Linked DNA regions of Elephas maximus indicus. The protein of the gene in region 1 purifies or fractionates together with the protein of each later gene. This does not show direct contact. Links are inferred from orthologs where the notes say so. Each region holds a gene or a part of one and is shown in the gene's direction. Other genes may lie near its edges.

The links.
Region 2: the proteins of CBX3 (region 1) and WDR5 purify together in Homo sapiens (affinity purification with mass spectrometry; 3 studies listed by BioGRID and IntAct, with this or other methods). This does not show direct contact. The link is inferred for Elephas maximus indicus from reciprocal best matches to the Homo sapiens genes CBX3 and WDR5.
Region 3: the proteins of CBX3 (region 1) and CHD4 purify together in Homo sapiens (affinity purification with mass spectrometry; 6 studies listed by BioGRID and IntAct, with this or other methods). This does not show direct contact. The link is inferred for Elephas maximus indicus from reciprocal best matches to the Homo sapiens genes CBX3 and CHD4.
Region 4: the proteins of CBX3 (region 1) and histone H3.3A purify together in Homo sapiens (affinity purification with mass spectrometry; 3 studies listed by BioGRID). This does not show direct contact. The link is inferred for Elephas maximus indicus from reciprocal best matches to the Homo sapiens genes CBX3 and H3-3A.

The regions. Positions count from the first base shown.
Region 1 is NC_064826.1:87,352,087-87,359,350, forward strand, and holds the start of CBX3 (chromobox protein homolog 3), read left to right. Parts: upstream 1-4,257; 5' UTR 4,258-4,384; intron 4,385-5,574; 5' UTR 5,575-5,602; coding exon 5,603-5,626; intron 5,627-7,264. Other genes in the region: HNRNPA2B1 (heterogeneous nuclear ribonucleoproteins A2/B1), read right to left, coding at 25-60, 3,110-3,115.
Region 2 is NC_064827.1:4,452,797-4,460,633, reverse strand, and holds the start of WDR5 (WD repeat-containing protein 5), read left to right. Parts: upstream 1-4,837; 5' UTR 4,838-4,949; intron 4,950-7,837.
Region 3 is NC_064822.1:63,380,744-63,388,565, reverse strand, and holds the start of CHD4 (chromodomain-helicase-DNA-binding protein 4), read left to right. Parts: upstream 1-4,816; 5' UTR 4,817-4,959; intron 4,960-5,848; 5' UTR 5,849-5,926; coding exon 5,927-6,026; intron 6,027-7,822. UniProt on the Homo sapiens protein: ATP-dependent chromatin-remodeling factor that binds and distorts nucleosomal DNA. Acts as a component of the histone deacetylase NuRD complex which participates in the remodeling of chromatin.
Region 4 is NC_064837.1:66,035,661-66,042,296, reverse strand, and holds histone H3.3A, read left to right. Parts: upstream 1-4,304; 5' UTR 4,305-4,426; intron 4,427-4,922; 5' UTR 4,923-4,929; coding exon 4,930-5,057; intron 5,058-5,177; coding exon 5,178-5,331; intron 5,332-5,423; coding exon 5,424-5,552; 3' UTR 5,553-6,127; downstream 6,128-6,636. UniProt on the Homo sapiens protein: Variant histone H3 which replaces conventional H3 in a wide range of nucleosomes in active genes. Constitutes the predominant form of histone H3 in non-dividing cells and is incorporated into chromatin independently of DNA synthesis.

The DNA.
Region 1 (7,264 bases):
TGAGGTGACCTGCTGGCAGAGTACCTTTTTCCTCTCCAAAGGAACAGTTTCTAAAGTTTTCTGGGGGGAAAAAAAAAACTTACATCAAATTTAAACCATATGTTAAACTGCATATTAGTTGTGTTACACCAAAAAAACTGTCTCAGCTGAACTACACAAGCTTCAAAGTCATTAATGCCTGATCTAAATTTACTTGACATAAATTTATTTTAAACAAACGTAATTATCATTTATTTAAAAGCTTTCTGGGGAGAAAAAAGTAAATATTCTGCGGTTCTTGAATGGTTATTAAAAGACTACCAAACTTTTACACAATCCTATGTCCAAGACATAAAACTTTGCTTTTAAGTAATAAGTAAACACTTTCAAAAAAATTCAAAAATAACTCTGGCTCTTTACAACCCGTGGTTGACTACGTATTTCAGAATTCAGTATCTGAAAAGTGCCATAATTAAATTATTTTCCCTTAACTGCCCCCTCTGGTGGTAGTTTTAATGAATCTCATCCAAGAAAACTCCAAAAAAAATACGGATTTCCCCCATATGCCCCCTGCGGGGCATTAAAGGTTTAAGATAGGTACAAAAATAAGCTCTCTTGAGCAAGGCAGGTTGATTTTATAACCAAAGTCTTCTACAACTTAAAAAAAAAAAATCGAATGCAGTTTTTTTTGGGGGGGGGAGGCTCTTGTATTTTGTATTTAAATGACAGTACAGAAACAATCTGGACCACTCTGCTAACCACAAAAAAATGTATTCACCTTATATATTAATATTTTTATTTAGCATAAGCATCTCACATTAAAAAACCCAACAAGAACGCTTAAATGCACTTAGAAATAATTCTGATGATTGCACAAGTTGAAAGTAACGTCTGAACTATACAATTAAAATGTTTAATAACTAATGTTTCGTTATATACATTCTACCACAATAAACAAAAATGTTTAAACCACCACCATAATTACTTGGTTTTTACTTATTACCACATTTACCAATAACACATTTGACTGGCTTATTTAAAAAAAAAAGCTCGGGCATACGGATTTTAATGTTCATCTGGCAAACTAGGGCATAAAACAATGTCTTAAATTTTACAAGTTGAAAAGAAAAAAATCTGAGCTGAAATTTTTAACACCTGCAAACATGCTACATTAAGAGCCCCTTTATCTGGGGTAATCATGGTCGTTAAACCTGCCTTACAGGTAGGTAACTTGTTAATTTTGAAAAAATATTCATAAACCAGGAAAATAGATTATATATCCAGGACAAACTACTGTGAAAGTGTAACAGACTAAAAGGTCAAATATATTTTCAAATACAGGAAGTGTTTTATTCCCAACAAGTATTACTGCTTTCAACCAATTCGATGGAAGTTCCTTAACGCAGACGATATTCTCCCGACTGCTCAAGAGAATACAGTAGAAGCCAATTCAGTCAGGGACTCCCCCTCCCCCAATATGGTTAAGTGTTTTCTGGGTTCTGAAAATGAAAAATAGAATTAACTTAAATTACCAAACTAAGCCCTTGAGCTACTGAAACAACAACACGCTGTCAGAACGGGTAACTATTTTGGATTCTCAAACTAATTTTTTTTATTCTATACCTTGTCACTAAAAACATCTCTTTAAACCCAAATCAATCACGGACATTTAATGCAAAAGCACATCCACAATCCTTAAAAACCAGTAACAAACGGCAAAAACGCATTACTTACCTCGGTCTGTTCCAAACTTACCCGATGTCCACTATCGATTATAAACAAGGTTATTTTATAAACGTGCTTTAGGGTCAAAGAAAATAATCAGGTAGACCCCCTTCGCTTGAGACCTTACGCTTAATCAATGCAATGACCAACCATGATTGCAAACAGAAATAAGAACAGCAAATAACAAAGTTCAAACACATAGCGACCTAGGCCCGAGACAGTTTTGGGCATAGCACTACAACGCATTACAATTTCGAGCCAGGATACAACTAATAAGTCATTTTTATTTCACTTTGCTCTGAACTTTTGGCTTGTCGTTCATGAAGATCCGCATGTTCACCCAGCAAACATCGAATTTTCACATAATTGCTATTCTGAATATGAATAAATCCTACAACTTATATATTAGTCCTTAGAATAATAAAAGATTCTGGAAAGAATATTCTCCCCCACATAATAATCTTCCCCACTGCCACCTCGTTCGTAATCGATACTAATCTAATGGCTCTAAATTTTGATATTTCCAAGTTTTCTGCGGTTAAACGGTCTTTTTTTAATCACTGCAAACCCAGAAAAATCCGTTATTAAAAGAAACACAAGCTGGAAAACATGAAACGGTTTCTTGGTAATATGGCTTGCCTAAAGGCCAGGCCCAAGGCCCAAGGCCCTCGGCTGTTACACCTTCCCTCTCTCGCGCGGTACCAACTGGCCCAGCCGAGCCTCCTCCCCACCCCCCACTCTTCTCTGTGGCTTCTGAACGCAATGGCGCCATTTCATCGAGGGGAAGGAAGAGCGCCTTTAACGAGGTGCGCAGGACTTAAAAGATCCGAGCTCACAAAACACACGAAATTCACCTCGAAACGACGTGGAAACAGCCCGAGAAGAGAGAGAAACAGTTAACTACTTCTATTCGGCAACAAAGTGATCACAGTAGTAGAATTTAAAGAGCAAAAACAAAAACGCTGCGAGGAAGGAGAGAAATGAAAATGGCGGCCGCCAAATCCGGTTCCCGGGAGAGAGGGGGAGGGGAAGCTCCGCAAACTCACGAGGGCCCCAAGCCCTCCGAAACGCTAGGACGCTGAGGCCCCTAAGTTGGCGTTTTTAAAAAGGGAATAGGAACTCCCGCCTCTGCACCCCACTTTCACTAAAGTGGGACTGCGTCCGCCATGTGAAAGTTCCCCATCCCCCAAACCAGTAAAAGGAAATGGCGCCGGGAGGCCGAGGGCGGTGGTGTACAAGCAGGCCTCCGCTAAGATCCCCCACATAAATGTCACAAGATCAACCGCCCCGGGAGCGGTCCGACTTCACTGCCGCTCTCCCACGGAGGCGGGTGGTCAACTTCCATTGAGGCGCCAACGGCCTCACCATGCCCTCTCCAGTAACTCATTGATTTCAAACCCGTTACCTCCATCGCGGACTCAGTCGCTTCAGCCCGATTTCCCGCAGCCGAGCGAGATGAGAGAGATCTCCGCGGACGAACACGAACCGGACTCGTCCTGGCGCTGTTGTGAGAGCTGCCGCTGCTCGAGAAACAACACCGCTAGGAGGACCTCCGCACGGGACCCGGCGCTGCTGCTACTGCCGCTAGAGCCGCTGCCGCCGCTTTTCTAGAACCTTCCCTCCGACTAACGCGTCCTCCCTTACGTCAGCTCGTTGCGTAAACGCCCTAACCGCCGCCAATGGCGGGAACGCTCTGCTCCCGCCTTACGCCAAACACGTACCCCTCCCCCTGCTTGCGGCTAGCGGTGGTGCTTGACGTTACTAGCGTAAATGGGACTCAGTGAATTGCGGAAGGCTCGAGTCTTGCGTATCTCCCTCGGAGTCGGGTCCAGCCCCCGCCTTAGCGCAGGGCAGGTGAGAAACGGTCGCGCAGTTTGAAATTAGCGCTGTCGGGAGCAGCTCAGTCAGCTGCCCGAAGAAGTAAAACCTGCCGCTGCACCTTTGATAATGCCCGTGGGTTCTCCCACCATAAAAAATACTGGTAGCCTTCCTCCCTTCGTTTTCCTCTTCAACTCCCTCCCCCCCTGTGCAGGACTGACTCGGCCCCTTCCGGAAACACCCGAAGCGATTTCTAGTCAACAAATTACTGGCCAACGTCCTTGGGGCCGGCCCCTAGAATTTGGTACTTTTTTTTTTGTTTTTTGTTTTTTAGGAAGGTCCTCCGGGAGGTACACTTCTCTTAGCTTCCAATTGTCCTTTCACCCCCAAGTTTTTCTCCACCTCCCTCCAAAGGAGGCAACCACTCCCAGGGGCGAGGAAGTGGGCGGAGTCCGGTTTTGGCGCCAGCCGCCGCGCTGCGGAGCAGAAAAGCCTCCGCGGAAAAGACTCCGACCACCGTCCCCGCCCCTCCTCCTCCCTCCCCTCTGGGGATCACCAGGCGCCAAGCCGCGAACGGTAGGTGCCGCAGTCACCGCCCCCTTCCCTGCCTCCCTTCCAACCTCCCACGGTCCAGGGCTCCCGACGGGCGCGGCCCCTCCCCGGCCGGGCGCGCGCGCCCTCCCGCCCCGCCCCTCGCCGCCCAGCGTGGGCGGTGCGTTTCTCCCCTCCCCCTCCCCGGCCCAGGCGGAGGCCCAGCGCGCAGCTCCCCAGCCCCCTCCTCTTCGGATGTGGCTTGAGCTGTAGGCGCGCAGGGCCGGAGACGCCGCAGACCCGGGACGTGGAGCAGCTCGGAGGCGGTGAAGTCGGTGTCTTTCTTTCTCTCTAGCTTTCACTGGGTGGTGGTGCTTCAGATGCTACATGCGCCCCAGGGACCCCCCCCTCCCAGTTCCCAGCTCCTGGATCCCGCCCTTCCCCGCCGGACCCAGAGTCGGGATCTGGCGGGAAGGTGTGGAGGGCAGGTGGAGGCCCGAGGCGAGCCGCGCTCAGGGCCGGCGTCTGTAGTTTGCTGAGGGTAGAGAGGTGTGGCGACAGCCGCTTTTTTTCTAGACAAAGCGCCTTTCTTCCCCTCCTCCCTCATCCACGTTCAAGAAGAGGGACCCTCCCCCGCCCGCATCTCCGGCCTGGGCGGCGAGTTGGGCCTCCCGGGAGGGCGGCGCATTTTCCCGCATCCGCGGGGCCTGGCACTGCACGCGGCCCGCTGTCCAGAGACGGCGGCGGACGCTCCGTTACGTGGCCGCCGCCCAGGTGCGGGGCCGGTGGCGCAGTGCCCTTGAACCCCGGCGCCGCGGCCTTTGTTTCTCCCCGCGGATGCGCTGACCACGAGGCCGCGCTCTCGGTGGGGGGCGGGCGCTTAGGCCTTTGCACACCCCAATCCATTTCGGAGGGTCCTGGGGCCAAGGGGAGATCGGGTGAATATGCAAGAGGTGATTTGTTTTTAAAAGTGTCATGAAATGGGAATGAGGCTTCACGGTGTGTTTTCCCTTTAGTTTTTTTTAACGAGTAATTGGGAAGAGGGGTGGTTTCTGAGAAGAAGTCAAGTTAGGGTTGTATAGGAAACTCTTTGGACTGTTAAGAGGTCTAGAGGAAAAATTCAGTATAGCTTACCGGTGTGGTTGGTTGGCTAATTTTCTCTCACTTTGAACAAAAAGGTTTGCCTTTGAATAAAAAAAAAAAACAGAGCTAAACATAGAATTTGGTGTAACTGGGATTTAGAGTGGAAAAAATATTTCTCCTGTTTTTTGCACCATGTAAAGCTCAGTCTCAGGTGCAGATGTCCCTCCCTTCCCCCACTTGGATAAAAGTGATATATTACTTTAAGGCATATATCATTAATAATTCACGCAGGAGCTTAAATCCGCTTCTCTATGGATTTCTATCCATGTTTGATATGTGCGCTACCGACGTGGGGGTTGGAATCCAAGCAAAACTTGTGTTTAGCTACCTTTTTTTGTGTCATGCAAACTTCCTTTTAACTGTCATGCATTTTTCTAGTAATAGCTCTTCAAGTCTGCAATAAAAAATGGCCTCCAATAAAACTACATTGGTAAGTTAATGAAAACCTAAATACATAAGGATCTAACTCAAGCTTTTTTCCCAAAAATTATAACTTTGCATCTCTGTGGTTGGAGAAATTTACATTCATATATTCCCCACACACCCCAGGCCCCCAGTATTATTATGGGGAGAATTAGGGGCAGAAAATTACATAGAGATTCTTACTGACTTGCCTTAATACTTCTAATTCAATTAAATAAACCTAATCTCTTGTCTAGTTCTCAAGAGTTTAGAAGGACAGTACAGTATGAATTTTGCCCAGTACTTTTTTCTTGCGATAATAAAATACAGAAAATTATGGAACATGGAAAAATATGTTAAAAGGATAGGCCGTTGAAACAGTAAAGCCACTGTTGATTGGTATAATAAACCACTGTACCTGAATTCTGGAGAAACCAAGTATTTTCAGTAATATTCAGTTTAAAGAACCAGATATCTCGTGCACCTAGTTTGGGGCAAATGTTGTTCAGTTTTTCAGATTACTCTGGTCACTTTGTCATATTTCAATTTTGTTTAAAACGCATGAGGACCTTTACATTATTGCGGTGGTTGTTTTTTAATATACAAAAAGAACCAAATCACTATGTGTGTGAGAGAGAGAATACTAAATCTGCTGGATCTTTTGAGCAGTTAAATTTTTTCTCTCCAGCCACAGCATCTTAAACCCAAAGTTGACGTATTTTAGGTTTGATTAAAAGTTTAACAAATGTGTAAAGGCATGTAGAGTCAGCCATATCAAACTATAAATCAAAAAAAAAACTGGAATGTTCACATAAAAATCACGAAATTCAAAGTTATGGTTCCCACAGTATTTAATTCTAACACATTGCATTAATAGTAATCATAAGCATGTAAAGGTGAGTGTTAACATCTAAGTAAAGGGAAACATTTGGTTTTGATCTGCATTCATTCCTTGGTTTCTACACTAAAAAGGGCAAATTGGTTATTTTGAATTTGTGCCATTGTTAGATTGCACATTTAAGTCAAAATACACTAGGACAGATTGAAATATAAGGCCTATCTGGTGAGTCCCTGGCATGAATGATTTCCATATATAGTTCAAAATCATTAGTGGAGAAAGCATCTTCTGTGTCCCCTCAGGATTGGAGCTGGCCTTCAAATTCCATTATCAGTCAACCAAAATGTAGGTACTAGAATTGGGTTACAGTCAACTTTATCCTTCATCAAATAAGTATTGGGTAGGAAAGGAATTAGCTGTCCATGAGGCAGAAAGTTCTGAGGATGAATATACATACAGAAAACACACACTTGCTCCCATTAAAATTAAATTGCTTTTGCACAGTTTGGTAGTCTTGGTGTTTGTAATTTATTTGTGTATAAATATTTTTTTGTAAATGATCACAAATTGAGCAATTGTAATGTGTGTGTGTTTGGTTTTTTTTTTTTTTAATATGTGAGAGATGTGAGCTATTTTTGAAATGGGAAACTGAGTTTTATATAGTAGGAAGTGCATTTTGCCTCCAAAATCCACTTTGTGCTGGAAAAATAAATCTGGCTTAAACCAAATAAATACTTCTATTTTAAAAGAAGGGCATTTGAAACTAGCTTATGTATCCCAAGATAATAAATATAATATAGCCCCCCCCCCCTTTTTTTTTAAGTGTGG
Region 2 (7,837 bases), on another chromosome or scaffold:
TTTTGTGACGTTGGTTGCCAGCCCCAAGACATGCCAACACTCTCCCCTTCTCAGTCTTGGCTTCCCCGTTTCCAGCTTTCCTGTCCCTTCCTGCCTTCACGTCCTTGTCCCTGGCCTGCTGTGCCCATTGAGTTTCGTATGCATACTTGAGCTCGTTGTATTATTATTTGTTTTAGGGGCCTGTCTAATCTTTGGCTGAAGGGTGAACCACAGGAATGACTTCAGTACTGAATTAAAAGGGTGTCTGGGGGCCATTCTTCTGGGGTTTCTCTAGTCTCTGTCAGACCAGTAATAAAATGACTAACTTTTTGTTATGTGAATTTCACCTCGATCAATTATCTTTGTAAAAGGCCCACAGAAGAGAAATCAAAGATTTGATGACACACGTACTCTATGGGGCTTTAGTGAGCACAGCCATCTCTGGCGATTTAGGGAGACTGTATTTGAAGTCCTTGTCACTGGATGGTACAAGTGGCTTGCGCTCATTACTAACTTGAAGGTTGGTGGTTTGAACCCACCCAACCCAGCAACACCATGGAAGAAAGGCCTGGTGACCTGCCTACTTAAAGATTATTGTTGTTTTTGGATGTCGGGGTCAGTGGAATTCATTGATTGCTGGGTGCTCCTAGCAGGGACTTGTTCCCCTCTGGGCCTCCTCTTGCCCCTCCTGGTTTAGTGGTGGACACGGTCCACGGGTGGGGGGATACATGGGTAAGTGGACCCTTCGAGGGCCAGCCCGCTGGCAGGATGGGGAAGGTGCAGAGGCACAGGGGAGGGCCTGGGGCTCCTTGAGGACAGGACAGCCCAGGAGAAGGACGAGTAAGAGCGGCCTGTTGGCCCCCACCCTGGTTTACCTGGGACCGAGGGGTGCCAGGGACAGGGACTTTCAGCGCTAGAACTGGGATGGTGCTGGGCAAACTAGACGGTCAGTCACCCAGGGGTTACAATGGGAGGGGATGTGATGTAGGGAAAGGAAGCCTGAGGGAAGGAGACGGGGGGGGGGCACGTGCCTGGGTGAACCAAGGAAGGAGAGAACTTGGCACAAGGGGGAAACCCACAATGTCAAGAACAAGATGGGTCCAGCCTATTCTGTAACTGGGAAACGGGTGCCAGGTGAGGAAGAGAGGATGCTGGACACCAGGGGTGATAGGTACCCACTTGGCTCAGGACAAGGCTGTGGCCGAAGGCTGGCTGTCCTGATGGATCCAGGGCTGGGGTGGAGGGTACTGGGGTGGGAAGAAAGAAGCCCTAGCAAGGAGAATAGTGGCATAAGTCCCCTAAACCATTTGCCTAGCATCTTTATGAGGGAAAAGGGCTTAACAGGAACCCTCTGACCTGGGCTGGCAGGAGCCTGCGGGGTTCGGGATAAAGTCAGGCTGTGGGATCCTGGGAGCAGCTCCTGGAAACCCTGGCTCCTGAGCATCCTCGTGTCCCTCAGGTTCTAGGATCCTCTCATCAACTGCTGTGGGAATCTGCTGCCCCCAAAGCTCTGGGCTCAGCCGTTAAGGGGCTGGAGCTTCACTGCTGCCTGCAGCCCTGGTGTGAGCATTGCAGTGTTCCACCCCAATGCAACCAGCCCCCTCCTCAGCCAACGTCCTGAAGGCCACTTTTCCTGATAAAATGTTTCTCACTAGACGATAAAACATGGTTTTTCGGAAGCTTGAAGCCGTGTGAGAACGTAATGTTATTATATTTTAGATCTGCGGCCTCTATAGACCTCCTCTAAGCGCTGGAGTTCATGGGGTTGCTGTCTTCTTTGAAGGCCTACAACATGGGCGTTTCACTCATTCACCAAATAAGCGTCATTGATCGTGCACTGTTTACAAGTCTAGGGGTCAGGGCGCAGGCTGTGCCTACAGCCAGTCCTGAGCTTGAGTATCTGCTACTGACTGGGGGTCCCTGGGTGGTTTCCCAGCCTCTCTGAGCCTCAGTTTCCTCATTGTGAAAAGGGGATAATGTAGGCACCCACTTCACAGGGCTGTTGAGAGGGTACAAGGAGGTAACAAGTGTAACAAACTTAATAGAGGAAGGAGCACCCAAGTTCTCAGTGCATGTCAAGTCATCCCTCCTCCCCTCCCTTTCCCCCTCCTTCTCCCTCCTCCTCCCCTCCCTCCTCTTCTCCCACTGCTCCTCTCCTCCCTCCCCCTTTCCCACTGCTCCTCCCCCTCTCTCCCTGTTATCCCACTGCCCCCCTTCCCTCCCCTTTCTCCCACTGCTCCTCCCCCTCCCTCCCCCTTCTCCCACTGCTCCTCCCCTCCCTCCCCCTTTCTCCCACTGCTCCTCCCCTCCCTCCTCTTCTCCCACTGCTCCTCCCCTCCCTCCCTTTCTCCCACTGCTCCTCTCCTCCCCCTTTCTCCCACTGCTCGTCCCCTCCCTCCCCCCTTTCTCCCACTGCTCCTCCCCCCTCCTGTTCTCCCACTGCTCCTCCCCCTCCCTCCCCCTTTCTCCAACTGCTCCTCCCCCTCCCTCCCCCTTCTCCCCTCCCTCCCCCTCCCTTCCCCCTTTCTCCCACTGCTCCTCCCCCTCCTCCTTCCTGTCTTCCTCCCACTCCCACCAGCTCAGATGGCACCAGGAGACTTTAGACCAGGATTTCTATGAAGAGATGAGGGTTTCTACTGGGGAGGAACTGGGAGCGATGCAAACACAGCCAGGGTCACTCACCAGGTTTGGGGATCAGGGGAGGAGGCCCCAGGGGACGTTGGCTGGAGGGGGTGTCATGAGGAGAAGGGGAGCCTGGTGGAGGGACCTGGAGAGGGAGGTGCCCAGGCTGGCTCACACCACCCCTTGCATGGGGGTAAGGAGCAGCTTTCTAGAAATGTTGGCTGTAAAAATTTGTTCTTGGAAACAGTTTCCTTCACCAATTCACCCCGGTGGCCCAAGCAGTTAGTATTCTGGAAAAAACCACTCGAGCATGGTTTCCCCTTTTCTTTAGTTCACACTCTCTTCGGCTTCCACTACTGATTTTTCTGAGCGTGACAAATTTTTGGGAAGGATATAAAGGGGTTTAAAACAGATAATAAAGCAAATTACTTGTTTTTGTTAAGCGGCTTTTCCTGCTGGCTATCCGGTTTCCGGATTTCAGCTCTGCAGGGAGGATTTTCTTTTTCACCAGAAGGTTCTACCTCCTGGGGGAGGGCGGGGCCAGGCCCATTTACCTGGGAGTGGAAGTTGGGAAACTGAGTTAACAGATTTGAGTTCTGTGACTTCTGGGGTCAGGACCCTCATCCCACTCTGCCAGGAGGGCTGGGGACTGGAAGTAATTTCTATCTGGGGCTGGAACCTGGGGTGCACAGTTTGGGGGTGGCACTAGGCTGGAGGGAGAGGGAGGGTCTGGTAAACCGTCAACAGAGTTTGGCTTTTGATCTGAGGGCCCTGGGAAGCTATTTCTAAACCTTAGACTGGGGAGAGACAGACCAGAGCTGGAGTTTTCCTATGGCGTGCTGTGTAGAGGTTTGGGAAGGGTAGCATAGTGGTCACTCTGAGATGATGAGGCTGGCATGGAGAGGAGTGGGTGGACCTGAGGACTGAGAGGTATGGGGGGGAATCCAGGGTGGGCTCAGGTGTCCGTCCAGGCCACCAGGTGGCTGGAGATGCCCATCTTAGGCCACCAGGTGGCTGGAGATGCCCATCTTCACCTCTTAGCTGGTTTTGTTAACATTGGAGCATCCCGGCATTTGGCTCCAAGGCACCTGGACCAAGGGTGACCGGGCCTGCTGGACACACAGATCCACGTGAACTATGGCCTTGCCACCCTGTGTCCTCTCTGGGAGAGGGCTCCAGATTGGCTGCCACTCTTCAGCTGTCGTTATCCATGACAGCCACACATCTCACCTTCCGTGGGCGGTTGGTTCCACTTCTAATGCATGGTCCCTTTGTTTGCTCAGGTACCTTGTCCTATTAATTGGAAAATAAGAGTTTGTCTGCCACTCTACCCACAGACCTGGGCAGGGGCGGTGGAGCTGCAGGAGCCAGGGCCACCTCCAAGAGTCTAAGGCCCATGTGGTTTGCAGAAGTGGGGCAGTGGGCTGCGGCTGCTCGTGGATGGAGCAGAACACTGGACCCCAGGTTCTCCTCCTGCCCCTCACTCCTCTCTGAGCCTCACCTGCCCGTCTGTGATGGAGGTGAACACCTGCCTGGGGGCCCCACCAGGGAGGGGCTGTGAAACCAGTTTGCATGCAGTAATTACGAGCATTGTATTCATCACACAACGCTGGGAGGGAAGAAGGTGTGGTGAGCTTGGGGAAGAGCTGGCGCTGGAAGGACTCTCAGCCCCTCGGGCGGAGTCCGGGGACTGAGCCCCAGGTCTTGTAAGCGGAAGGCGTGCGCACCTGTCCGCCTGATGTGTGAGGGTTCACTGAGGCGTTGCGCGGGCTAGCTGCAGATGCTGTCACAGCCAACTGCTGCGACCAGTGGTGTGAGCGTTAATGAAGAATTGATGCCCCAACCGGGCCACCGATTCCGAGGAGAAACGTTGGGCAACTTCCCCTCCTCAGAATCCCCGGGGAACGCCCTGTCCCAGGATGTGGGTGTCGGCTGCAGGGCTGCTCACAAAATTCAAGGGATACAATAGTACATCCCTGTATGTATATTACACTAAAAAAAATCTTTAAAAAGTGCGGGAGAGGCGGGCCCGCACCAGCCAACTTCTGGAGTTGAACGCTTTGGATCAGGAAGCGAGCGCAGCGCCCGGCCCCTTTAAGGCGTTCGGCTGGCCGAGGCCTTCTGCCCCTTGCCGCTCTCCGTAGCGCTCCTCAGAGAGGCCAGCTTTGTGCGTTGGCCCCGCCTCCGGGGCACCGCCCCCTCTCCTCGCGCACGCGCACTGGCAGGGGCCCCCCCCACGCCGCTTGGCGCCCGCCGGACCTGCCGCCTCGTCGAGCTTGGCCCGCGCTGCCGCCCAGGTGGCGGCCGACGCGACGCCCGGCTCCCGGCCCCGCCGCTGCGGCCCAGAGGTAAGCGCCGGCCCGCGGGCCGCAGCGGGGTGGGTGGGCGCGACCCGGCTTCGCCCCCAAACCGTCTCCGGCCGCCGCACGTGTTCCCCGCCAGGCCGGCGCCCCGGGCCTCGGCCCCCGTGGCAGCTCCTTCCCGCGGACCCCAAACCGCCGCCGGCGGGCCCGGGCCCTCCTCGTGCAGACGCCCTCCGTGAGGGCCACCTTCCGCGCCTCCCCAGCCCCCAGCCCCCAGCCGGTGCCCCCTTCGCCCTCCTCCCGGCTCAGGCTCCCCGCCCGTCCCCGTTGCCCCATCTGGCGGCCCCGCCCTGGGTGTCCTGCCCCCCATCCCAGGGGTACCCCCCACACCCCCATTGATTGCAGGTGCCCCTCCCCGGCCCATGTCCCAGTCTCCCCGGAACTTCTCTCTCCGCAGCGGTCACATGACAAGACCAAAGCCCCAGGGGTTGGGACGCCCCTCCCAACCCCCAGCCAGCGTGCACATCGCCCCCTTCCCCTGCATTTCTTCAGAGAGACCCCAGGCCGGTCTGTCCCACATGTGGTCCACGCAGACACTGGCTGAATGCAGACAGGGTTGAGCTCCCCTCTTCTGTAGACATGACCCCTGTTTTCCACCCACCCTGCCCCTGCTGGTTACTCCTGAGCTGCCAGACCCCGTCTCGCCTAAGAGCCTAGAGCCCCGGGTTGGGGTCACTGTGGTGTGAGTCCACCCTCAGGAAGGGAGAAGCCACCGGCCCTCCTGTGGTGGAACCTCAGACCACGCCTGGTCTGGTCTTTGAAAGCCATTTGGGGATATTTTAAAAGATACCCCTTAACCACCTTTGCTGTGCAAGCCTTTACCCACCCAGGTCTTTTCACCAATTCTCTTAAAGAAATGTTGCTGTCCAGTTGATGCCAACTCATAACGACCCTATAGGACATGGTAGAACTGCCCCATAGGGTTTCCAAGGAGTGGCTGGTGGATTCGAGCTGCTCGCCTTGTGGTTAGCAGTCTGAGCTCTTAACCACTGCGCCACCAGGGCTCCAATTCTCGTCAACAAACGTTTTAAAGCTTTGAATCGGGCGGTACTGCACTAGACCTTGCCTCTGAGCTTGGCCCCTAAGGAAGGCAGACAGGTAAGTGGGGAGCAGAAGTATGTCCAAGAGCTGAGGTAGCAGAGAGCTGTTCCTGCCACGACTGCTGCAGGACGGGCTGCCTGAGCTCACCTGGGCGTGTGCACAGAGAAATAGGTGGCCTCTGAGTTCCCACGTCTGGATGGAGCCCAGGAACCTGTGTTTTACCAGAGTCTAGGAAAGCGCTCAAGTTTGGGAGGCTCTGCCTTAGGTGTCAGGCTCACTGGGATCAAAGGCCTGTGGGTGCCTAGAGGGGCGGGAGCTCTGGAGGCAACGTCCAGGTTGCCCTCCGGGTGTGTATTCACCTTCTTGTACCCTGCCTTTTTATTGGTTTGGCCCCTAACCAGCTCCCTGTTCCCTCAAAATAATCCTTTCTCCAAATGTGACCACAGACCTGTCTAAGTGTCTGTGAAGAATGCAGCTGCGGGCGTAGACCCCACCCAGCAAAGCAGAGTCTTGGGGTGCTGAGTCAAGAAATCCATATTCTTAAAGGTCCTTCTCTGCATAGGGTTTTTTTTGCATGTTAATGTTTGAAGGCTGGGCTTGCGCTGGGTGGGGGGTAAGACCACCTACTTTTGCACAAGGGTTTTTTTGCATGTTAATGTTGGAAGGCTGGGCTTGTGCTGGGTGGGGGGTAAGACCACCTACTTCAGCCTTTTGTTCCTCTTGGGCAGCCAATTGGCCGTAGTCACGCCCTGCCTCTAGGCCAGGCTGTTTATGCTAAAAGAACACTTCTGGCCCTTGAGCTGCCCTTTTGTGGAGCCTTTGCCACTGGTGTCCCACCTGGGGCAGGGGCACCAGCCACTTCTCAGCCCTGTGCTGTGATCTGGGCGTCCTTGGATGCATCTGCAGCAGGCTTCCCAGCAGAAGAGAGCTTCGTGCCCGTTGGCTTTGCCCAGTGGGTGTTCCTGGGTAAACTTTCTCCCCTTGGATGAAGACTTTGGGACTTTGTCCTTTTTGATGGGTTCCATTTCGCCTGAAGCTTCAAGCTAGAAGGTACAGTGTGTGAACACACCAGGTGAATGGTAGTGCCAGCTTAGGGGGTTGAATGGCCAGTGACATTTGCAGGAAAGGCTTAGTGGCTCTCCTTTTTAACAGCGGTTTCCCTCATTTCTGGATAACCTGGTGTGGTTTCATGAGAGGTATCCAGTAACGGAGGAGCTCTGGTGGTGCAGTGGTTAAGGGCTTGGCTGCTAACCGAAAGTTAAGTGGTTCAAACCCACCAGCCACCCCCTAGGGTAAAGACGTGGCAGCTTGCTTCCTTAAAGGTTACAGCCTTGGAAACGCTACGGGGCAGTTCGGCTCTGTCCTCTGGGGTTGCTGTGAGTTGGACTCGACTCGTCTGCAACAGGTTTGATTTTGGTTTTATCCAGTAATGGAATGTGCTGCTGTGACAGGAGACTGATGGCTTACTGCACAGGTTTGGGGTGTTTCCCACTGTCGAGCGGACCCTGGCTGAGCTGCAGTCTCTTCCCTCCTCTGCAGTGAGTCTGGCTGCGGGGTCAGTGCCCAGCTTAGGCTCCTTGCAGCTTGCAGGGCAGGCCCTGGGTCACGCTTCAGCTGTGTGCTGAGTTTCCTCACCTGTTGGCGATCTGGAAGCAGCCTGTGCGGTGAGCCCTTGAGCCCACCCTGAGGTGCGGGAGCCCTGGGTGTGCTCACGCCTGCGTCCCCACTCGGGGTGCGTTTTAGGATCTGGATGAGTTGTCACCTTCCGCACCCTGACGCTGAGTCCCCTGTCCTTTGGCACGTTAGTTTTCTGTCAGGAAACCTTTGGGTCT
Region 3 (7,822 bases), on another chromosome or scaffold:
GGTAAAGCTCTGGGGAGGGGGGGGGGATGGGGAAAGAAAGGAAGGAAGAGGGAGGGAAGGAGCTGGGGAGGGTGGGGTGAGCCCTGGAGCCAGACCTGAGGCCTGACAGGAGTAACTGGCTGGAGAGGTTTCTTCTGTGACAGCTGTTCGAAGGGCCCTCTGAGGCAGGCTCAAGCTAGCTGAATCTGAACCCTGGACAACTGGGTACACTCACAGCTTTAGGGCAGCAAGACTGCTGATTCCTGAGCCTGCAGTGCTGGGCTGGAAGTGAGGACTCCTGGGTTCTGGCTATGAGGCATACCACGAAAAGGAGGCAGGTTCCTGGATGACCACAATACCCAAGTACTCCTCTTCTTTGCCTTCCTGGGTTTGAGCCTTGGGACCATGGCTCACATAGGAGGGTTGCACATGGGAAACTTTATTTTTGTGTGCAGTCAGACCCAAGGAACAGAGACATGGGTTGGCTCCTGAAGGACTAATGCCTCACCTGCCACCCTTCAAGTCCACACAACCTGCATTCTGTCTTGCCGTCAGAGTGCACTGTCACTGTGGCTTCTTTTCCCCTACGCTGTTTTTCCAAACTGCCTTTCCTGATGGAGCAGCAGAGTACCTTAGACCTGAGCAGAGTTTCTTGGTTTCACACAGACTAGAGGTGTAGGGAGAGGAAATAGAGAGCGTACGCTGAAAACTTAACGGACAACTCACTCTGAGTGTTATTCTAGGTTCTTCTGTACCACGGGGTGGAAACAGAACTCTAAGGTAACCGACTAGAGAGGCTGTCCCCCTGGGTGCATTAATCAGGAGATTATCCCACAGTGGTCTCTGTGGGCCAATCACACTAGTGGTTTATTTATAATTTATCTAGACAGGTAGCATGGGACCTGGGTAGGGAGGGAGGGGCATAAAGACCACAAGAGCAACACATAAGTACACATGTTGTAGCCCTTGTTGGAACTCAAGAAGAGAGGAAAGAATTTAAACTTTCTCCTAGTGGTATCAGAAAGATGTGAAAAGATAGGGAAGAAAGGGAATAAGTGGGTAGAAGCTGCAGGATTAGGGAAAGAGGGATTGTGGTGGGCAAAGGGCACCAGTATTTTTAATCACGGACAATAGGCTGTGCGTACTCAGTTGTAAAAGTTGCTTACTGATTTATATTACGAATCACTGTGGTAATGTGGTATATATGTATGAGAGGAAAAAAGCGTGGGGCAGATGGAGATATTACAGAAAGGAATTTGAGGCCCAGAGACAGGCTGAATCCCCTAGGGAAATGTGGATAAGGAGGGCATAATAGGTATTTGGCCACTCTGTGTACGAAGGAGAAAACTTGAAGGGAGGTGTGCTCACATTATGGCATCTTAAAAGAGCTGCCCCTCTCCCCTCTGGGAGCAATGCAAAGTTCATTCTCAGTACTTGGAATAAGCACAGGGGAGGGTTTGGACAAATGAATGGGGCTTAATCCTGAAGTAAAGAAAATGTAATGAGGAAAACTACAGACAGCCTAGCAGAGTGGGGAAAATGGCCATCACGCCACATGAGTGTGGCAAAAAGGTGGTCCAGAGAATTGGAGCAAATATTGGAAAAAGAATATATGAAATGCAAAGGTAGCCGTGAGAGTCCTTGGCAAGACCTGAGGTCTTTGATGTTGAAAACTTCAGTCCTAAAATGAGAAAAGAGTTAAACATAGAATGCTAGTGATTATACCATTAGGCAGCAGCTGGTGGAAAGACTTAGCATCACTGGTGCTCTGCCTGGGATTGTAAATTCCTGGAGAAACAAGCTCTCTCTGCACCTGAATTCATTTCTCCTTGCCACTTCTCCCAGTCCTTTAGTTCCCAGAGGAGGGGAGAACCATCTGGTCGGGCCCTTTCTCTAGGGAAATGACCTTAGGACAATGAAGATATGGAGTGAGGTAAGGAAGGGCCCCTCTTAGGAGGGAGTTCCTGTTTCTCTTCACCCTGCCCCACCTCCATATGTCTTGCCCTGTGTGAAAAAGGCAGATGGAAGCAGAAGTAGACATCATCTCTGGCTTGAGGAAGAGAGACAGTGAAGCAGTGATGCTGGAATATTGTTCTCACTCAGGTCCTGCTTCTCCGGGGGCCAGGAAGAGGGAAAAGTGACAGGCTTGTGGGCTCAGATTCTCTGAGGACCAAAGGGCTTTAAGATTGGGATCTCCTGGCTTTCTTAGGACTGGGTCCCCAGGGTGGCTGGAAGGTAGGCATGGTTAGGGAAAAAGGATAATATATATTGGGAGCCTGGTGGCACAGTGGTTAAGAGCTTGGCTGCTAACCAAAAGGTCAGCAGTTTGAATCCACCAGTTGCTCCTTGGAAACCCCATGGGACACTTCTACTCTGTCCTATAGGGTCGCTATGAGTTAGACTCCCGGCGGTGGCAATGTTTTTTTTTTTTACCTTGTGGCATAATTGAATTAGGAAGGCATCCTGTTAGTTAGTCCTGTCAGTAGGTATGTAGAAATTGTATGTGGGAAGGGGCAAATAGTGAACATCATGCAACTATGGTGTTTTTTTGGTGGAGAATGGGGCCTCAATAAGATGGAGATTTGGGCAATTGTGTTATGAGACTTCGAGATATAAAATGAGCAAGGAGTTAAAAAATGACATTGAGGGTAAGCAGGAATTTTAATGTTGAAGAATGAGGATAATGATTCTGGCCTGTTGATGAGCCTCTCAAGAAGGAAGCACATGATAAAATTATAGGATTTCATTATTAGGAATGCTGAGTGAATGAACATTGCCTTCCTATCAAAGTCCCTTAGTACGTAGGGGTTAGATAATCTTGACCATCCGTCTATACTGTAAACCCTTTTAGAATATCTAGGTATTTTAAAATACCTCTAGAAGGACCACCAAAAACCTCTACTAGGATATGATCTGTCCTGAAACCAGTTGGGCTTTGCTTTATTCTCTGTAACAGGAAATTAGGAAATAGCATTCAGTTGTTCTCCCTTGGCACCAGACATTTCTATTTTCTATCACAGTTTGTTTAGTTGCATATGCTTCTTTAAGGGAGGCACCATGGTCTTTGCATTCCCCATGTTGCCTAGCTCTGTGCCTTGCTAGGTACTCTGTCAACATCTGCTGAATGAATGTGAGTAGTAGTGAATAGTAAGTAGAGGGAGATCAGGTCCTGGCTCTTTGTGTATATATATACTGAAGGGCTCTCAGTTCACATCAGAATGGGATGCCCATCTATGGGAGTGGCCCAGGGGTGTTGAAGAATGGTCCCTGAGCTGGAGGCTAGGCGATGGGGGAGAGGACTGCTGGAATGGTGAGAAGTAGTCTTTGGATGGAAATTTGTGATTATTATGGGATGCTCTGGGGTGAATTAAACTTCATATAAATTGTTCATCTGGCCGGCATGGTATTTGGTTGGTCTTACTCAAAACTATGAGTTGGAATGTACTAGACTGCAATGGGTTCGGGTTACTCAAAACTTAATGGCAGGAGATGAACATCTGGAGAACTCCTGGATTTAGTGTGATTGGGTGGGGCCCTAGGTTAGCTCTCAACTCCTGAGTGTCTGGAAATTATGGGATGATGGAAGCTACGGTCTTACAGGTTAAGAGGCTTTATGCCAGGGTACTTGCTTTGGCCCAGAAAGGGTTGAAGCTGTGTATGAGTGGGGGCGGGGACAAGGCAGTGTGGGTGGCCCAGAAAGGGTTGAAGCTGTGTATGAGTGGGGGCGGGGACAAGGCAGTGTGGGTAGCCTGCCTGCCCTGCCTGCTCTGGGTGTTAATAGATTAGGCTTACAGCATTTGGAGATGGGGAGGTATATGAATATCATGGGATGCCTGGCTGGAACAGTACTATATAAGGGTGGTGGGGTGGAGATGAAGCGATATGGGATGTGACCCTGGGTTGTGCTGAGAGTATTATGATGTCCGGTTGACCATGGCTCCCTTGCAATTATTAAGGGATGTCAGGGTGTGGGTGGGGAAGTAAAATTATTATGGGATATATTTCCAGGGTTAAGGGAAAGGGTGATTAGGTGTCCATCTGTGGGGTAGCAGTAGGACTGCTGGTCTATTATAGGCTATCTTTTTGATAGGGAAGGGGTGGTCCTTATGGGCTGAGGAGCTAGAATGAAAATGTGAAGCCTGGGGGTGGTGTGTGCATCTAGACCCTAGCCTGCAGGGACCGAGGGCAGCTCCAGGGGGTTAGTTATTACAGGATGTCAGTATGGAAAGTGGGAGACTGATTATTACGGGGTGTGTGTGGGAGGAGGCCAAGTGTCCGTTGTTGCAGTGGGGGGATGAGTTTCTGACTATTATGGGATATCAAACTGGGGGTGGATGAAGAGTGGTTATTATGGGATGTCTGGGGGGATGGGATGAGTATTATGGGATGTGAGGCTGGTGTGCTGTGTGGGGTGCTTATTATGGGATGGCCATGGGAAGGGAGGGGTGATGAATTATTATGGGATGTGAGCATTAGGGCGAAGAGTGAAGAAGTTGGCAGAAGGATGGCTATTATGGGATGCTGCAAAGGGTTAGTGGCAAAGGTCTGCAATATTATGGGATGTCAGCAGTTCTGACATATACGTGTATGGAGTGTGTGTAGGGGTGTGTGTGTGTGTGGGGGGGTGTCCGTGTGTATTATGGGATGGCCAGGAGGTGGGCGGTTGCCCGGGTGACACGCGCGCGCGCTCGAAGGGGCGTGGCCAATGGTTGCCTGAGCGACGAGGGGGCGGGGGTTGCCCGGGAGACCTAGGGAGGAGGCTGGAGGTAGTGGAAGGGGGGGTTGGAGTTGGTTGAGGTTATTATGGGCTGTCCGCGGGGGGGCGGGGCCTGTGCGGTGGGATTTCCCGGCCGGTGTTTCGGGCCCTTTAAGAGGCGACGCTGGAGCCGGAGCCATTTTCCCCCCTTCGGCCGCGGCGAGGAGGAGCCGGAGCGGGAGTGACACCGGGCCAGCCTCTGCGCGACCTGCGAAGGCTCCGGGGTGAGGAGAGCGCGGGGTTCCCTGAGAGACGCCCCTCACAGCTCGACAAGCCCGGAGGGTCGTTCCTTCACCCACTCCTTCCTCAGGCGTCCCCAGACCCGCGAACTGCCCTCTGTCCGGAGGAGCCAATCCTTCTTCTCCCTTCCCTGCAGGGTGCCCAGCACCCTCCCTTCTCTACCCTAACCAGGCCTGAGTCTTGCTCCCCGCGCCCCCTACCCCGGGCTTAGTCTCCCACAATGCCCGGCGCCCGCCCCCTCGCCCTTTGCTCTCTTGCCCCCCGGGACACGTGGCCCTGCCCCCTTCCCGATGGGGGCTCCCTTGCACCTAGTCCCTGCCCCTGGACCCCCGGAGCGCCCGAACCTCCACGCCCCCTCGTTCTCGCGGCTCTTGAGGAGAACCTGAGTTGTCCCAGAGGACAGTCTTTGGAGAGCTGCCCTGTCTGGGGACTGGCCCCTCCCCGGGCGCAGGGAGGCGCCCCCCCACCCCCAAGTGACCTTGTGTCCCCGAGCGCCTCACCGCCCGCCTCCTCTCCTGCCCTTACCACCGCCCCCCCCCCCCGCGCCGCGGCCACTCGGACGCCCCCCACCGCCCACCCCGTCACACCCTGCTCAGTCCAGCCGGCTTCTGTCCTCCCCACGGCTGCACCAGCCTGCCCTCAGGGGTGTCGCTCCTTCTCATCTAGGGGCTCCTGTTGGGGAGCTGGCTTCCGGGCTGCCCCCGAAGAGTGTGGAACTAAGTTCAGCCCGAGTGGTTCGGGTGCCCTGCTAGGGTGGCTGGGTGGGGGGGGGGGGGGCCGGTGGTAGTGGTGGGCGGAAAGAGCGGGTGGGTGTGGGGGAGGGGGACTGCGCGTCACTGACTGTTCTCTTTCTCTCCCCCCTCCCCCGCACAGTGACTCGGGCCAGTGTAGAGGGCCCCAGGCCGCAGGCAGGAGCAGCTGGGCCAATTCCCTGGCCAAGAGCGGAAGGGGATGGCGTCGGGCCTGGGCTCCCCGTCCCCTTGCTCAGCGGGCAGTGAGGAGGAGGATATGGATGCACTTTTGAACAACAGCCTGCCCCCACCCCACCCAGGTAACATCTTCCCCCAGGACCCAGGGCAGGAAGGAGGCATTTGGGTCCTCCCTAGTGATTCTGGTAAGGCAGGGTTGAGTTTCTTGTCTCTCTCTGCAGTCTCAGGTGGAGGGCATCCGAAGGGAGTGGTTCTCTTTTGCAGAGCTCTTGTGTGAGGCGGGTGGAAGCCATGTGCCTCTGGGCACCTGGACTGAGATGCCTGCTTGCCGCACTGTTCTGGAGGAATGCTCCTCAGTTCCCAGATGAGGGAGCGCTCTTGACTGGCAGGCATTACCATATGTGGGTCCTTGGAGGAGTGCGGGTAGCTGGGACTCCTGGAGGCTATTGGGATGGGGTGTCGAGGGATTCTGTTTGAGGACCCCGGCTAGGCATCTGTGTTAGTAGAATACTGTAGTTGCTACTGCGGAAAGGAAGGAAAGAGCTTTTTACGCTATCTGATTATTTTTAGCTTCTGATCAGTTACCGGTTTTCTATGTTTCAACTGTGTGAAGTTTGAATTGCGCTCCTCAGCCGGGATCTAGAGTGCTTTTAGCCAGGCAGATTGCTGGAATGTTTTGAGTGGAGATATAGGGGCTAGAGGAGCATGTAATAGCCTCAAGGTTGTACTAGGAGAGGCTGAAGAAGGGAGGTGACATGCTGGGCACTCCTCCTCCCCTGGTGAGTGGACATAATCTTGGCTTTTTCCACAGAAGCTCTGAGGCAGAACTCTGTGCCTGTCGCCTGGGGTTTGAGATAGTGGTATGTAGTATTTGTGAAGGTGTTAAGGGTTGTGCTATCAGTGTTTTAAGGTGCTTCCTTGGACTGGCCAAACTCGTGTGGTTATAACCACCATGCCTGATTGGAGTAGCCCTTGTCTATCATCAAATGATGATTGATGTCATGCTCCTAAGCAGATGTCTCTCTCATCTGTCTTTTCTTGTTCAGAGCTCCTAGTTAAGTCACCTATTTGTTGTCTTGATCTTTTTTTTCTAGCTTTGTTTTTTCTACGTGCCATTTTTTAAATCTTTCCTGCTTATATTTTTCTCCTTATTCTGGAGCAAACTGGTCTTGCTTTTGTTTCCCATCAAATGTCTTTCACTTCTGCCTTCCCTCTTTTAGCTCCAGCCGGAAGTTGAGGTGGTCTGGGAGAGATGCTGCCACATTTGGCATTTTCTAAGTTGGAAGCCTTCTCTTTAACCTGAGGCCACTTAGGAGAGGAGTCAGTCTTGGTGTCCTCTTCTCATGTTACTGAGTCTTCAGCTGTTGGGATAGAAAACTTAGGCTTGAGTCTCATCACTGTGTAGGGTAGGGTGGCAGATTTCTGCGCTATTGCCCAAGGAGGGTTGTGAGTTGGTGATGGTGGTAGATGATCTTGTCCTTTCTGTGAGGGGCATGAGAGTTAGTGCTGTTGAGCTATTGTTGGTTCCACATTTTGGCCTCCCAGTGGCCCCTTGGTGTGGGGCTGACCCGTGTTGACTGGGAGATGTGCAGACTCCCTGGGTGAACTCTGCCCCAAGCTGTAGCATGACCCAGTTTTTCCACTTGCCACACCCAATTCCTGCCCCTTTCCCAAATCTGCCTCTATATCTTAGCCAGTTTGCTATTTGCCACGTCAGCTCATTATCTGCCTGAAAAGTTTGGGGGTCGTATGTACATGGAAAGGTGTCTCCTTTGCTTTTATGGATTTGCCCTGTCTTCACTTCCTGCGTTTACGCAGGTGGCAAAGGGAAAGAATGGAACTGTGGCTGACTGGAGGGGTGACATGGGGATTGCTGGGGAGAAGCCTTTAAGAAAGTGATTCTTCCTGGTAAGATCCA
Region 4 (6,636 bases), on another chromosome or scaffold:
AAGTCCCCAGAGGCACCCCACTCTGCCAGGAAGCCCCCTGCCAGAAGGCACTCAGCTCTCTTGGTCCATGGGTTGGCATGCCCACCGCAGCAGCCTTGTTCTGTGGACCAGGAACCCTACTGTGCCTTCTCTTGCCAGTCTCCCAGTTCTGCTGCTGCCATTTCTCTGATGATGCTTTTTGCCATCTTGTGCTATCTCCAGCGTTACAGCTTTCTCTCTCCTGGGTCTAGGAGGTTCACAGCACAGGGACCCTGGGTCCACAGGATACGCTCTGCTTCTGGCTCTTCTTTGTTGATGATAGTGAAGTCCCCCTTCTGCTCTGGGTTTGGGTGTTTTTTCAGCCAGCAGGATGGCAAAACTGACCAGTCCCCTCATTAGTGTTCCATACAGCTTATTTGCATGGTCCCACCCCTCCAAAGGGGTTCCATGCACCTTATTTGCATTCTTAGCAGGCTGTCCAATCCCCTTGGTGGGCCACAAATACCTTATTTGCATAGTCCCACCCAATCATTATGTGGGATTTACAAGACCATGCATGGTTAGAAGGGCCACATGAAGTAATTTACTGCACAGCATATGTTATCCCCAAAATACCTGAGTGTGATTTGACTGAGGAAAAATAGTTCACAACATTAGATTTTAAATTATATATGTGTATATATACACACATATATATCATGAGTTTAGAGCTTTGGCTGCTAGCTTACAGGCTGGCAGTTAGAACCCCACGAGCCAATCTGTAGGAGAAAGATGTGGCAGTCTGCTTCTATAAAGATTTACAGACTTGGAAACCCTATGGGGCAGTTCTACTCTGTTCTATAGAGTCCCTATGAGTCAGAATTGACTTGATGAGAACGGCGTGTGACCATGAACTTCAGAATAAGTGTGTACTGGTAGAATTGGGAGACGATATCATCCAAATACTTAATTTATAAATAAGAAAAAAAACCCAGAGAGGTTAAGAAACTTGCTTGAAGTTACTCAGCAAGTCAGTGACAACAGGAACTAGGACAGAAATCTACACCCCTGCATCACACAATATTGTTTTGATTATATAGACATTTCCAGTTCTTCCCCATTTACTATGTTGTTTTTCCTCCTCTGTGCCAACTTAGGAAATGCAACAATAACAAACCTGCCTCGATGACTACCAAGTAAGAGGGACAAACTATTTCTTTAAATGGCTGCTTGGCATCGTATTGTAGATTCACACCTTGCTTCTCCGAGAGCAGCTTTAGTTTCCTTCTAGTAATTACCAACACTGGGAGAAAGGTAACTGGACTGTCCCTGCCATTGGAGGCATAGAAATTACAAGGTTCTGGGCCTCCAAAAAAAACCGTGGAATGTTAATTTAGGGGCCCATTCTTTCTCCTGGTCCTTGAGCAGTCACAGAAGGATGACGGTGTATGGCTGGCTACATCCCAGAGCATTTGACAGCCTCCTTCCTATTTGAGATGCAAACAACTCCCTTGTCTTAGCTTTACACAGGCTCTGAGAACCTCCATCTTGGCTTCCCTTCTTGATATGGCTGTGAATGAAGTAGAAAGTTTTTCTTGTTCTCTACCCCACATTTTGAGCAGAAAGCAGAAATTAAAGTTGATTACATTGTCACATGAAAGTTTTGGTATGTGAAAATGAGAGAAATTAGGTACCAGAGATTGGACCAAAGGCATTTTTGCCCAGGGCTTCCAACTGATTCATTCAGGTTCCAACCCCCGACGAGAATTTGCATTTCTAACAAGTTCCCAGGAGGTTATACATACGAATCACCTGCGGACCTTGTTAAGCTGTAGATTTTGATTCAGTACATCTGGGGGTGGAAATGCAAATTCTCTGCAGAAAACTTGTCAGAAATGCAAATTCTCAGCAGGGGTTCAAATTGGAAGGAAAGTTTCAAAGCCCTGTTTCTGCCATAGCTGCTTTTTCAAGTTGTAAATTTCTTTCACTATTGCCACTGGGACCTTTGATGTGCTAAATAAATATTGAAGTATTTGTACTAAAGGTACTAATACGCAGTCATTCTCTAAACTGACATCTCTATGCACCTGGTTTTGCTACTTTTTATTTGAATAACGTAAAAGAATCTGTGAACCCTGAAAAGGATCTATGGAGTAGAATGCCCAAGGCTCTATTTCAATTTTCTGGGCTTTGCTTGACTGTTCTTAACCTTAAATCTACTTTGGTATTTTATATACCTGAGTTATCTGGAGAACTGAGTATTGCAATCCATTCAAGACATGTATTTAGGTGAAGATAGGGATTAGCATTTTTAGACATTTGTCATCTTTCTTCAGAAGTAATACCTGCTAAGACATACCATAAAAACAAGGGCACATACTTAATTTACCTATCTCTCATTTACTCCTTATATGCATGTCAATGCTGTAGTAGGACTATTCCCTTTTTTGCCCAGTAATTTCATTCAGTCAAATTATGTAATTAGAGAAATACAGTATGTTGCTTAGCAGGTTACTCCTTGTTTAACTCCAAGGGTACTAAGATCACAAGGTATTTTGCAACATAATCTAAAAACATATAAAACTATTTGTAAACTCAATTACAAATCAGGAATGGTGTGCATCAGAGTTGTATCCTTTCACCATATTTATTCAATCTGTCACCATATTTATTTAATCTGTATGCTGAGCAAATAATCCAAGAAGCTGGGCTATAGAAGAAGAATGCAGCAACAGGGTTGGAAGAAGACTTATCAACAACTTGCAACATGCAGATGACGCAACCTCACTTGCTGAAAGCGAACAGGACTTGATGCACTTACTGATAAAGATCAAAGACTACAGTCTCAGTATGGGTTACACCTCCACAGAAAGAAAAAGTATTCTCCCAACTGTACTAAGAAGCAACATTGCGATAAACAGAGATAATACTGAAGTAGTGATTTTACCTGTATCCACAATTACCACCCATGGATTTTATTTTATTTGTAGCCACAATTACCACCCATGGAAGGAGCAGTCAAGAAATCAAAGGACATATTGCATTGGGCACATCTGTTGCAAAAGACCCCGTTGAAGTGTTAGAAGCAAAGATGTCGCTTTGAGGATTAAGGTATGGCTGACCTAAACCATGGTATTTTTAGTTGCCTTATATGCATGTGAAAGCTGGGCAATGAATAAGGAAGACTGAAGAAGGATTGATACCTTTGAATTATGATGTTGGCCAAGGATGTTGAATATACCATGGATTGCCAGAAGAAGGGACAAATCTGTCTTGGAAGAAATACAGCCAGAATGCTCCTCAGAAAGGAGGATGGCAAGACGTTGTATTACCTACGTTGGACATGGTATTACCTACTTTGGACATGTTATCTTGAGGGACCAGTCCCTGGAGAAGGACATCATGCTTAGTAGACAGTCATTGAAAAAGAGGAAGGATCTCAACCTCCAAGAGACGAATCGATACAGTGGCTGCAACAACGGGCTAAAACGTAGCAATGATTGTGAGGATGGGGCAGGATCAGGCAGTGTTCTGTTCTGTTGTACATAGCTTTGTTATGAGTCAAAACTGACTCGACAGCAACAGGTTTGGTTTTGGTTTTTTTAACAGGAAAAATCTCAATTATTGACATTCGTTTCTTTCCATGTATTATTTACCCCTCTTACCCCACCAATAAAATTACCCCACCAATAAAATAACTGCTTTTTGGTTAAAATGCATCTGTTGTTGTTGTCGTTACGTGCCACATACGTGATACGTAAAATACTTCATAACGTAATATGATTTACTGAATTCTAATTATCATTTATACTTTGAATTTAACTATAAAAATGTTATGAAAGTAAATAATCAGGGAACACATTTTATTTTACATTGGAAAATATTTACAAAAAATTTTTTTAAAATACCTTCTCATCCTCCTACATCGCATTAGCTTAATGCCAGTAAGCTTAGACTCGGCCCTAACAGGCTCTAAGTCCTGCTTGGGACCAATGCAATTCATTTGCATTGACTTTCTATTGTAGAGCTTTGGAACCAAGGGAAGGATCCAAACATAGCTCCATTTTATCCAATCAGAGGAGCCTCTTAGTGCTAAACTCTGATTCGTCCTTTTCTGTTTGCATCTACCCAATCATCAGGCCACTTTAACAGCCAATCAGCGATCCAGATATCTACCAATCAGGGAACAGGGCCGAAGCACGGCCTTTGTGTCGGGGGATGTCAGCGCGCCGGCGAAAGCGCCCGCCAATAGAAAAAGTCGTTGGTGTATGCAAATGAGGGGCCTATGACGCAGAGACGCAGCGTGAAGCGTGGGTATAAAAGCGGAGGCGTCGGGGGGGCTGGGAGCGCAGAGCGGTTTGGTCGTTTGGTAGGGGGTTGTCGTCTTTCTGCTTAGCGACTGCGGCTCTCGTTTGGGCAGCAGGAGCGGCGCGGCAGTCCGAGAAGCGGCCCAAGACTTCGGCGTTTGGTAGGCGTTCGCGGGGAGTGCCATGACTGGGTGCCCCGCCAGCCGTTGATGGCGCGGGTCGCGGCCGTTGGGAACCGAGTGACGGGCGGAGGGGGCTGCTTGCCCGCTGGCGTCGGGCGTGGACCGGCCGGTTTGTTCTCGGGGCTCCGGGTCGTCCCGCTTCTCCGCTCCTGGCCTAGTGGTGATTCCGAGGTTCCGGCGCCTGGTTCCGGACGCTCGGGCTCCGCCTGGCGAGGAGGGGAAGTGACTCCTCCCTGCGCCCCCCTCCCGGGGGAGCCTGCTGCTCCGCGCAGCCTGAGTCATTAGGGGAGGGGGGGCTCCCCGGCCATCTGCCGCCGCGAGGTGGGGGGCGAGGGCGCGGGCGGGGCCGGCGGAGGTCGGCACTCGCTCCGGCAGGGGCCCGGGTCGGGCTCGGTCCCCCTGCGCCCCCGGCGGCGAGCGAGAGGGGGGCCGGGCTGGAGGGGCGCGCGGCCTCACCGTGGGGGTGCTGTTCTAGGTGAAAAATGGCCCGGACCAAGCAGACTGCCCGCAAGTCTACCGGGGGGAAAGCCCCCCGCAAACAGCTGGCCACCAAGGCAGCCAGGAAGAGCGCTCCCTCTACCGGCGGGGTGAAGAAACCTCACCGTTACAGGTAGGCAGAGCGGGGAGGAAACAATGGCCTGGCGGCCGCTGGGCTTTGTTCGCCAACTGTCCGGGGCTCCGCCGGGGCTGCCCATCGGCGTCCGTTCACGCGCCCCTCCGCTCCCTCCAGGCCCGGAACCGTGGCGCTCCGGGAGATCCGCCGTTACCAGAAATCGACCGAGCTTCTGATCCGGAAGCTGCCTTTCCAGCGGTTGGTGAGGGAGATCGCCCAGGATTTCAAAACGGACTTGAGGTTTCAGAGCGCAGCCATCGGCGCCCTGCAGGTAAGGCAGAAAGGCGGTTTTCCTTCAGGGGAAGGGCTGTGTGTGCTTGGTTCTCTCCGCGGGGTTTAACTGTGTGGTTTTGTCCTCAACAGGAGGCTAGTGAAGCGTACCTGGTGGGGTTATTCGAAGACACTAATCTGTGTGCCATCCACGCCAAGAGAGTCACCATCATGCCCAAAGACATCCAGTTGGCTCGCCGGATACGGGGGGAGAGAGCTTAAGTGAAGGGCAGTTTTTATGGTGTTTTGTAGTAAATTCTGTAAAATACTTTGGTTTAATTTGTGACTTTTTTTGTAAGAAATTGTTTATAATATGTTGCATTTGTACTTAAGTCATTCCATCTTTCACTCAGGATGAATGCGAAAAGTGACTGTTGACAGACCTCAGTGATGTGGGCACTGTTGCTCAGGAGTGACAAGTTGCTGATCTGCAGAAGGGATGGGTGATATTTCCTGCTTCTCATGATGCATGTTGCTGTATGTTACTGACTTGTTGGGTAGCTATTAAGGTACTAGAATTGATAAATGTGTACAGGGTCCTTTTGCAATAAAACTGGTTATGACTTGATCCAGGTGTTTAACAATTGGGGCTGTTAAGTCTGACCATACATCACTGTGATAGAATGTGGGCTTTTTCAAGGGTGAAGATACAAGTCTTAACCACAGTGTAACTTACAGTTTCCTAAGAAAAAAGAAAAAAAGTAAACTTGGCAGCTATAGAATACACTATGTGCATTTATAATAGCTATTTTATATATTGTAGTGTCAACATTTTTAAATTAAATGTTTTACATTCACATGTGGTGGGAAGTCTTGTCATTGAGATGTGTGTAATTTAGAGTCGAGTTGGTTTGCCTTTAACTAGACTACACTTGTTTTCACAGTAAGATGCTGTGCTGCGTTGTACCTTGCATAAGTCCTCATTCTACCACGTTAACTAATCCTCTAGTTGATAATGCAGACACTGATGGGGGATTTTATTTATAAGGGCTCTAGAGTATATAATACCAGTTACTCACACCAGCATCACCTGTTACTAATTTCCAGAACTAGTTAGTGCAGCTTTTCGTTGTGTTGTGGTCTCATAACTAGGTTGAGTTTTTCTCCACTGAGAGGAGTCAATTCTGAAATGTTTTTCCTTGTGGAGTTTGTGTTTTAACTTAGTGTAAACTTGCTGTGGGGGAGGGGGATGTAGGTCCAGCTTATTGAGTCCTCTGCCAATTAAGGTGGTGTTGGCTTAGGTTACATCTGGTATACTATCCTGGGAAAAAATCACTTTTAATAGAGGTGGCCTTCCAAGTGGTTT